Caenorhabditis elegans: one gene and its partner. The protein of the gene in region 1 purifies or fractionates together with the protein of each later gene. This does not show direct contact. Each region holds a gene or a part of one and is shown in the gene's direction. Other genes may lie near its edges. The genes, in order: fbxb-76 and srx-93.

What was found.
Region 2: the proteins of fbxb-76 (region 1) and srx-93 fractionate together in Caenorhabditis elegans (co-fractionation; one large-scale study listed by BioGRID). This does not show direct contact.

Annotation. Positions count from the first base shown.
Region 1 is NC_003282.8:11,377,399-11,381,278, reverse strand, and holds fbxb-76 (F-box domain-containing protein), read left to right. Parts: upstream 1-1,924; 5' UTR 1,925-1,930; coding exon 1,931-2,007; intron 2,008-2,651; coding exon 2,652-3,105; 3' UTR 3,106-3,108; downstream 3,109-3,880.
Region 2 is NC_003283.11:3,618,751-3,622,685, reverse strand, and holds srx-93 (G-protein coupled receptors family 1 profile domain-containing protein), read left to right. Parts: upstream 1-1,977; coding exon 1,978-2,040; intron 2,041-2,086; coding exon 2,087-2,250; intron 2,251-2,296; coding exon 2,297-2,529; intron 2,530-2,579; coding exon 2,580-2,746; intron 2,747-2,795; coding exon 2,796-2,923; intron 2,924-2,972; coding exon 2,973-3,047; intron 3,048-3,088; coding exon 3,089-3,227; downstream 3,228-3,935.

The DNA of each region.
Region 1 (3,880 bases):
ACAAAATGTTATATGGAGCATCAGAATGAGAAGAAAATGAAGAAATATCTAATTGATACGCCTTTCAGAAGCGGACCACCTGCGGTCCAAAACAACGAAAATGATGTGAGGGAGGACTGGAAAAAAGAAGAAAAGGAGATAAATGAGAACGAATTAAATTATCTATCAATAGTTGTTCTTCTGTACTTTTTCTAGAATATTAGAAAACAACTCAATGAATGGAAAATATAAATGACTCGAATCGCCTAGCTGATCCATTTTTGAATCATTAATATCTCATTCAACCTATCCAAAAGGGACTTTTGAAATTATGAACTTTCTCCATCTAAATTCAATTTCTTTTCATGTGATATTTGCTCTTTTTCAATGTGATTTGTGCTCTTTACATCAAATCCTCAAAACTCTAATACCACACAGACTATATTAACAAACTCATTTTGATTTAGAATTTATATGTATGACGCCTTGCATTTTCAAGTTTCTGGAAGGTTGAAGGTTTATAGTAAGATTACGGCTCTCACCTGGATACAATTTTTCTTACACCAATTTGAATTTTGTAAGACAATAATTTGTTTACTTTGAAATAAAGACGTCTTGAGGCGGGTGACATATTCTGTTTGAAAGCCCTGACTGGGAAACGCTGGAGGACGTGTGAATGAAGTTTTGCTTTAACATTTCCAAAAATAGTCTAAAATTCAGAAATAAGACAAAAAAATGGAAATCGATTAAGAATGCAAATTTCAACTGTGAAAACCCAAATGTTTAATTTTGGCAGAGTTAAATATTTGTATTCGGCGAGAAAAATATGAAAAGCTAGTAATTTTGGCAGAACTCATAGTCAGATAAAAATGTAAAACGGAGACTAGAATGGTGACCTTAAAACTGATCAGACGACATTTAAAGTATTCCAAATACGTACCAATTCCAGAATCAGAAAAGTTCAGGTATAATTTCAGCTGCCAGTCACTCTGAATAACTAGATTCCACTCACTCTTTGATCATTCGACGTTTGGATTATTTATATCTGGAACATAGTGTCATCACTCACGGAAATCTGACGTTTCCGGATCACTAATATTATTTCGAAAAGCAACCACGGAAGAGCTTTCATTTGAAATTGATCAAAGCATATTCTCCTTCAAGCCTTTCAAATTGTATTTATTCTGTAGCAAAAACACAACAACAATGATTGGACACAGTTATACTGAAAGTTTGAAAGTTATCTCAGTAGAATATACAAATAATCAAAGTTCTTTGCCAGCAATAAAATGGGTCGATGATCGCGTAAGGAATGAGAAAAAGTCCGTACGAAAACTTTGTGGCAAGGACAATTGAAGTTAATTTTAGTAAATGTGAGAATCAGAAATAGAAAACGATGAAACAAATAAACAAAGGAAAAGGGTGCATGATGTTCTACAACTTTCGAGGGAAAATTGAGGGAAATTACTATTTGTCAAAAGTGAAACCATATACGAGTTTCTAGATAATAATAGATATCTATAAGTCCTCTTTTTTTATAATTTCGTTTATCATTTCGAGAGCTAAATTAAACCATCTCGTTGCATGGTTTTTTATGCATTCGTTGTGATTTCGTTGTGAGTGATTGAAAGCTGCCTTCGTGATTTACAGGCGGTGTCGGCAAGCTATTAGGCTCTTGTGTGTTAATATTTTTAAGATATATAACATCATTTTGACTGAATAAAATATTCCCCTTCAATAAATATGAACGTAAAGGTGGCCTTTGACCCAGTTCTTCCTAATTTTATAGTGATTCAACGCGTTGTCTACTCGAGTGGGCATTACGAGAGAAGCAGAGGATAAGAGAAAAAGCAAGAAAGATCTGAAAATAGGATAATAATGGGGTTAGATCATAAGTCTCCCTCTTCCATTCAATATTGTAACACAGTCACTGTTCTCCTATTCTGACACAATGAGCATCTTTCCTCTGCTCAATCTACCTGAGAAATCTCTGAATTACGTTCTTCGAAGAATGCCTTTAACCGAATTGTAAGTTTCTGAAATTTTGTGTTTATCCGTTTTCCAAAACTTCTTAAACCCTCCACCGTTTTTTGTGTGACACTTTGACCTATAAAAATGGGGACACCAGTTTGTTATGACGTCACGCATCATTAGACGTTGCTCGACAAAATACGCCTGACGACACACTAATAACCAAATATTATTGTGTCGCAGAAACGCCGTTTGTAAAATAATTATAGCTGCCAATATTAAAGTGGAACTACCGTATTTCTTCTATTAGTATTGCAGTCTCTAATAGTCTTGCACCTTTTTTTTGACTATGAGGAAACTTCAACGAATTTGTAATTTTTGGATAAACTTCTCAAAAATTGTTCTAATAGAGGATAAAGTATTAGAAAATAATGTATTGGTTTAAACGGTTGTATTGGTTTAAAAGTTTTCCATAAAATTTGGTAACTGTTCCGAAGTTATGGGGCTTTTGAAAATTAGTCTTGCACCTGTGAGAGGTCAGTTCTATACTGCCTCTCCGTTTCTTTTTATCGAGTGCACTCGATCATGGCCATCGACAACTGGTGGGGTGAGAGAGCACGAGAGAATAGATACATTTTATTCTACATATGAGAATTAACATCATTTCTATCCGGAGGCAAAAAAAAAGTTTCTTGTTTCAGAATTGGATTCGCTCTCATTTCTCAAACGGCAAAAAATCATGTTGAGAATTTGAATATAAAAATGAGAGATGTTCTGGTGGGTTTAGAAGACAATATACGATTTTATATTCGGGCCGATAGGAATAACTTTGTTGCGTCCGCGTTCTTCTCATTTGATATAAACCAAGTCCTTGAACAACCTGGTAAACGTGAATTCATTCTGAAGACTAGTGAAGGACAAACTTGGACCAATCCAGGACTTGGAGTGAGACAATTTTTGGATCATGTTCTTGAAATAGGTCATCATCCAGAGCTTTCTATTTTCTTCAATAAGATTGATTGCGACGAAGATACAATTTGTGATATGTTTGATGTTTTGGCACTTGAAACATTCGCAATGTACATCGGAAACTTTGTTAATATTTTTTATCAAAAAATGTTGAAGTATTATTTGAAAAACAAAAAAGTACAATGAACGACACTCCATAGAGACATCCAAATGGAACGACAAAACCGGAAACAATTTTGAGAGAAAAAAGTTAGAAAAAGTCAAAAGATTGGTGTGAGTCAAAAGAATGTGCCCCCTTGGGTGCAAGTTGAATAAAGAAAGTGAAGAAGATGGATTGAATGATCACAAAATGGAAAGTTTACAAGGAAAATTTTTCAGGGGATTTCTGGAAAATAACTAAAATTGGAAATTGCATTTCAAATCACACAAGCTTTTCAGTTTTCAACTTCAAATTATTTTCTTGAAATTAATATACGTCTAAAACTCTCTGAAACAAATAGCAATTTTGTCAACTTCTATTTTCAGCAATTGTTTTCTTTTCAATGATACTACAAATTTCTGTAAAATTTATAAAATGTTTACTTTCATTTTTGTAGAACACTGTTCAGAAGAATATCAAACAATCATTGATTGATACGAGAGAATCATTCAGATGAATTGCGTCCCTTTCACATTTACAGCGGCATTTTTTACGGAAACATCTATTATAACTTTTGTGGGGTTCGAATCGGTACAGGATTGCATTTTATTTTGGAACAGTTGGGGCTCGCACGATTTATTTAACAAAATTTTAAACTTCAAGGTATCGTTGAGCATGCAAATAAATCAGATTATTATGACAACATGAAAACTTGGGTGTATGGGGTAGAGAAAAATGGGAAGGGAATGATGCTGAATAATAGCTGATTAGCTCAAGAGATCAAATGCAATAAAGTTAGTACATGTAAAGATTAGATTAGTT
Region 2 (3,935 bases), on another chromosome or scaffold:
ATTTTTGGTTTTAATTTTCCAGTTTCTGGAGCACTACCCGTTTGTGGACATATTTTTGTGGAACTTTTATTTGGGAATGCCTACATTCTATTGATGGGTGAGACCGAACTCTATACATTAATCATATTTTTTATTGCAGATTCATTATGATAATTTTCAATGAAAAGCTGGCATTTCTTAAAACTAAAATTAAAAAGAAAATAGTGCTCCCAATAATTGGTGGTGGCCATCCTCGACAAGGCCAGACATCAGTCACAACATATTCTTATGGAAACAATTTTTTTAACACTGTAAATAATTAAACTTTTTAATCTAGCTTTTCTCTTAATTTTAAAATCCCATTTAACGCGAATTTAACATTTTATTTACATTTCTCTTATTTCGCGAATATGAAGAGTAATGAAGTTAATTCATTTTATTCAATTCATTTTTGATAATTTTATTTCATTTATTACAATTGTCAAAATCGTTAGAAAATACACATTGCACGCACAATACGTAGACAAACGCAGGCGTGGGTACCAAAAAAGAATACAGAGAAAGATAATTTCACCGAAAAGAAAACAAGAAAGCATGTGTACATATATATATATATATATACCAGCCGTTCGCACGCGCTAAAGCGCGTGCTCCGACTGGCTTACTCGAAATTAAAATGGAATTCTAGAAATTTTAAGCGTTTCTCTGCAGATGGGACGTTTTTTCTCAGTTTTCCAGATGTTTTTAAAGCAACATGAATATTATATGACTAAGTGTTCAAGAGTTACAACTTTAAAAAACTCTAGTTTCTTGGAACTACTTCTGAATTTCTTGAACGTTTCTAGATATTCTTCATGTCATATGATCATATGAAACTTATCCACGTTTTTTTCCGAAAGTTTTTGGCAAACGTCATTTTTTACATTTTTAAGTTCATGGCATTTATTTAACTTTTGATCTTTTAAAGAGATTCTAGAAAGTTATGAAAATTTTAGAACGCTCCACGAACTTCTAAACTTTTCCAGAAGATCATTCCAGAGTTTTGTCGAATTTTCTAGAAGGTTCTGGAACATTTCAGACAATTCTTGAATTTTCTAGAACGATTTAGAACATTACAGACTTTTTCTGATTTTTCAAGAAAGTTCTGGAACATTCCAAAATTTTACGATTTTTCTAGAAAATTCTGGAAAATTTTTTTTTCAGAAAATTTGAATTTCCCGCCAAAATTTTTTCACTAAAAATTTGAATTTCCCGCCAAAATATTTTTTTCACTAAAAATTTGAATTTCCCGCCAAAATGTTTTTCACTAAAAATTTGAATTTCCCGCCAAAATTTTGGGTCTTACTACGGTGGGTCTCACCACGATGGGTCTCGCCACGATGGTTCTCACCACGACGGGTCTCACCACGGTGGGTCTCGCCACGATGGGTCTCACCACGAAGGATGACAGACCCCGCCCACAATTCTCAGTGACTTTGGGTGTGACGTCACAGACTACAAAGACTACATAGACTACAAACTATGGAACAAACGGAATTATTTTTTTATATATAAGTAATGATATATATACCAGCCGTGGACCGCACCTCCGGCGCGGCCCCCGACTTCTGGGGCTGAAAACTAATTTTTCTGAAACTACCGTAATCATACAGCATTCCTACCGTAACCCTATTGTACCACTACAGTACCCCGACTATATCCCTACACTAAGCCCAACTCACTATCCCTCCAGAAGCCAAAACTTCATAGACTACAAAGACTACATAGACTACAAACTATGGACAAACGGAATAAGCGCTTTATATATAGTAAATGATATATACATATATTAGGACTCTGTTTCACTATATTCTAGTTCAAACATTTTTGTAAATTACATGATTTTTTTATAATAACACTTTTTCAGATTTACTGTTAGCATCAATAGTAACATTTCCCTTTAGAAGTAAAATTAAAATTAAAATGATACTACAAAAACATGCTTGAACTTACAGAATTATGTCCCAAGAGTACAACTATACGGATCCCCTCAACTTGGTGGTAGCATTCCTACTGGGAACGGTAAGGATTTGTTTGTAAATAAAAATTGAAAATATAAATTCTACAGATTGGAACTTTCGGTGTGGTCTGTAACTCCTTAATTGTCTACATTTTTCTCAAAGAAAAATCTGAACAAACCGCTTTTAATGTCATTTGTTTCTTTCGGGCTATATCAAATGTCATAATTTTAACAACTATCTTTCTGATCACTTACCTACCAAAAACTTTATTGTGAGACCTTTTTTTAAAACAATAATGGAACAATTGAAAGTTCCAGAGGGTATTCTCCATACCCACCAGCAATCGAATCTTGGTTCATCAATACATCACACCCTTTATATCTTGGAAATGAGTATCAAATTGTTCTAATGGCCATTAACAGATTTTGTGCAATGTTTTTTCCAACAAAATATTCGCGTATATTTTCATTATCTCATACAACAATCATACTCGTTCTAATCTATCTCTATAGAATTGCACAGAAAATATATGAATGGTTGCCAGAGTCCGGTGGGTAAAATGAAGCCATATTTACTAGGTTATTTTTATAATACTTTTAGCAAAAGGTTGCTATACATTATTTTCGACAAAATATTTTGCTTGGAAGTACAGCAGTGCTCCCGGTTGTGACTATGTTGATGGTGCTCCAGAAGTAATTAAATATACTTTTATAACAACGGCATTTTTGAATTTTATCACTTTTTTGAAGATCTTGCATTTTTACAAAGTATTTTTTTTTTGAAAAAAAATTCAAATTAATTTTTTTATGATTTCAGAAGTCTAATAGTTCACAAGTAGCTGTAGAAGCTAAGAAAAGAATGCGGAAAAATATATTAAATTTTATACAAACAATTCTTCTAGATTCCCTTTACCTTATTGATATAACTTTTACTTTTGAACTAAGGTTTGTCGATTTTATAACTCTGTTTATTTTGAAGCACTTCAAATTCCAGTTCCTGGAGCACTCGCCGTGTGTGGACATATTTCTGTGGAACTTTTATTTGGGAATGCCTACATTCTCTTGATGGGTGAGACCGAACTGGTACATTAATAATATATTTTGTTTCAGATTTATTATGATAATTTTCAATGAAAAGCTGACATTTCTTAGAAGCAAAACGAGAAATAAAGTAGTGCTCCCAATAATTGGTGGTGGGCATCCTCGACAAGGCCAGACATCAGTGACAACATATTCTAATGTGAAATAAATTATAACCACTAAAACTATAAAACCTTTAGCTTTTTAATCTAGTATTTCGTTTAATTTTTAAAATCCAATTTAATCCGAGATCCACGTTTTTGTACATTTCTCTTATTCATCTCGAACATCCAAATTTTTCCACAAAAAAATTCGGAAAATTTGAGCTTCCCGCCAAAATTGTTTCTCAGAACATATGAATTTCCCACCTATTTTTTTCCAGACAGTTCGAATTTTCCGACAATATTTTTTTCGTGGAAAACTTTAAATTCCCACCAATTTGTTTTTCAGGACATTCGAATTTCCAACCAAATTTGTTTTCATAGAAAATTTGAATTTTTCGCTAAATTGTTTTCTCAGAAAACTTGAATTTCCCAAAATTTTTTCCAGACAAATTGAATTTAATTCTGCCAATAATTTTTTTCGCAGAAAATTTGAGAAAATTTGAGATAACAACAACTGGGAGCCGAGCACTGAGCTCTGAAGCACAAACATGTGGTACAGGACCATCCAGACTGCTTCCCAACACTTCCACGTCACATATTTTAAATTATTATGAGCGAATGACATAATTGGATAATTTTTATGTAATCTTTTAAAAAATATTTTTTGAAAAAAGTTCCAAGATTCAGTGTATTTATCAATAAAATTTCAAAAATCAGGGGGTCGTATAAAAGTTGGACGGCCGTTTTTTCGACTTTCAGCCCGCGCGCGCGCA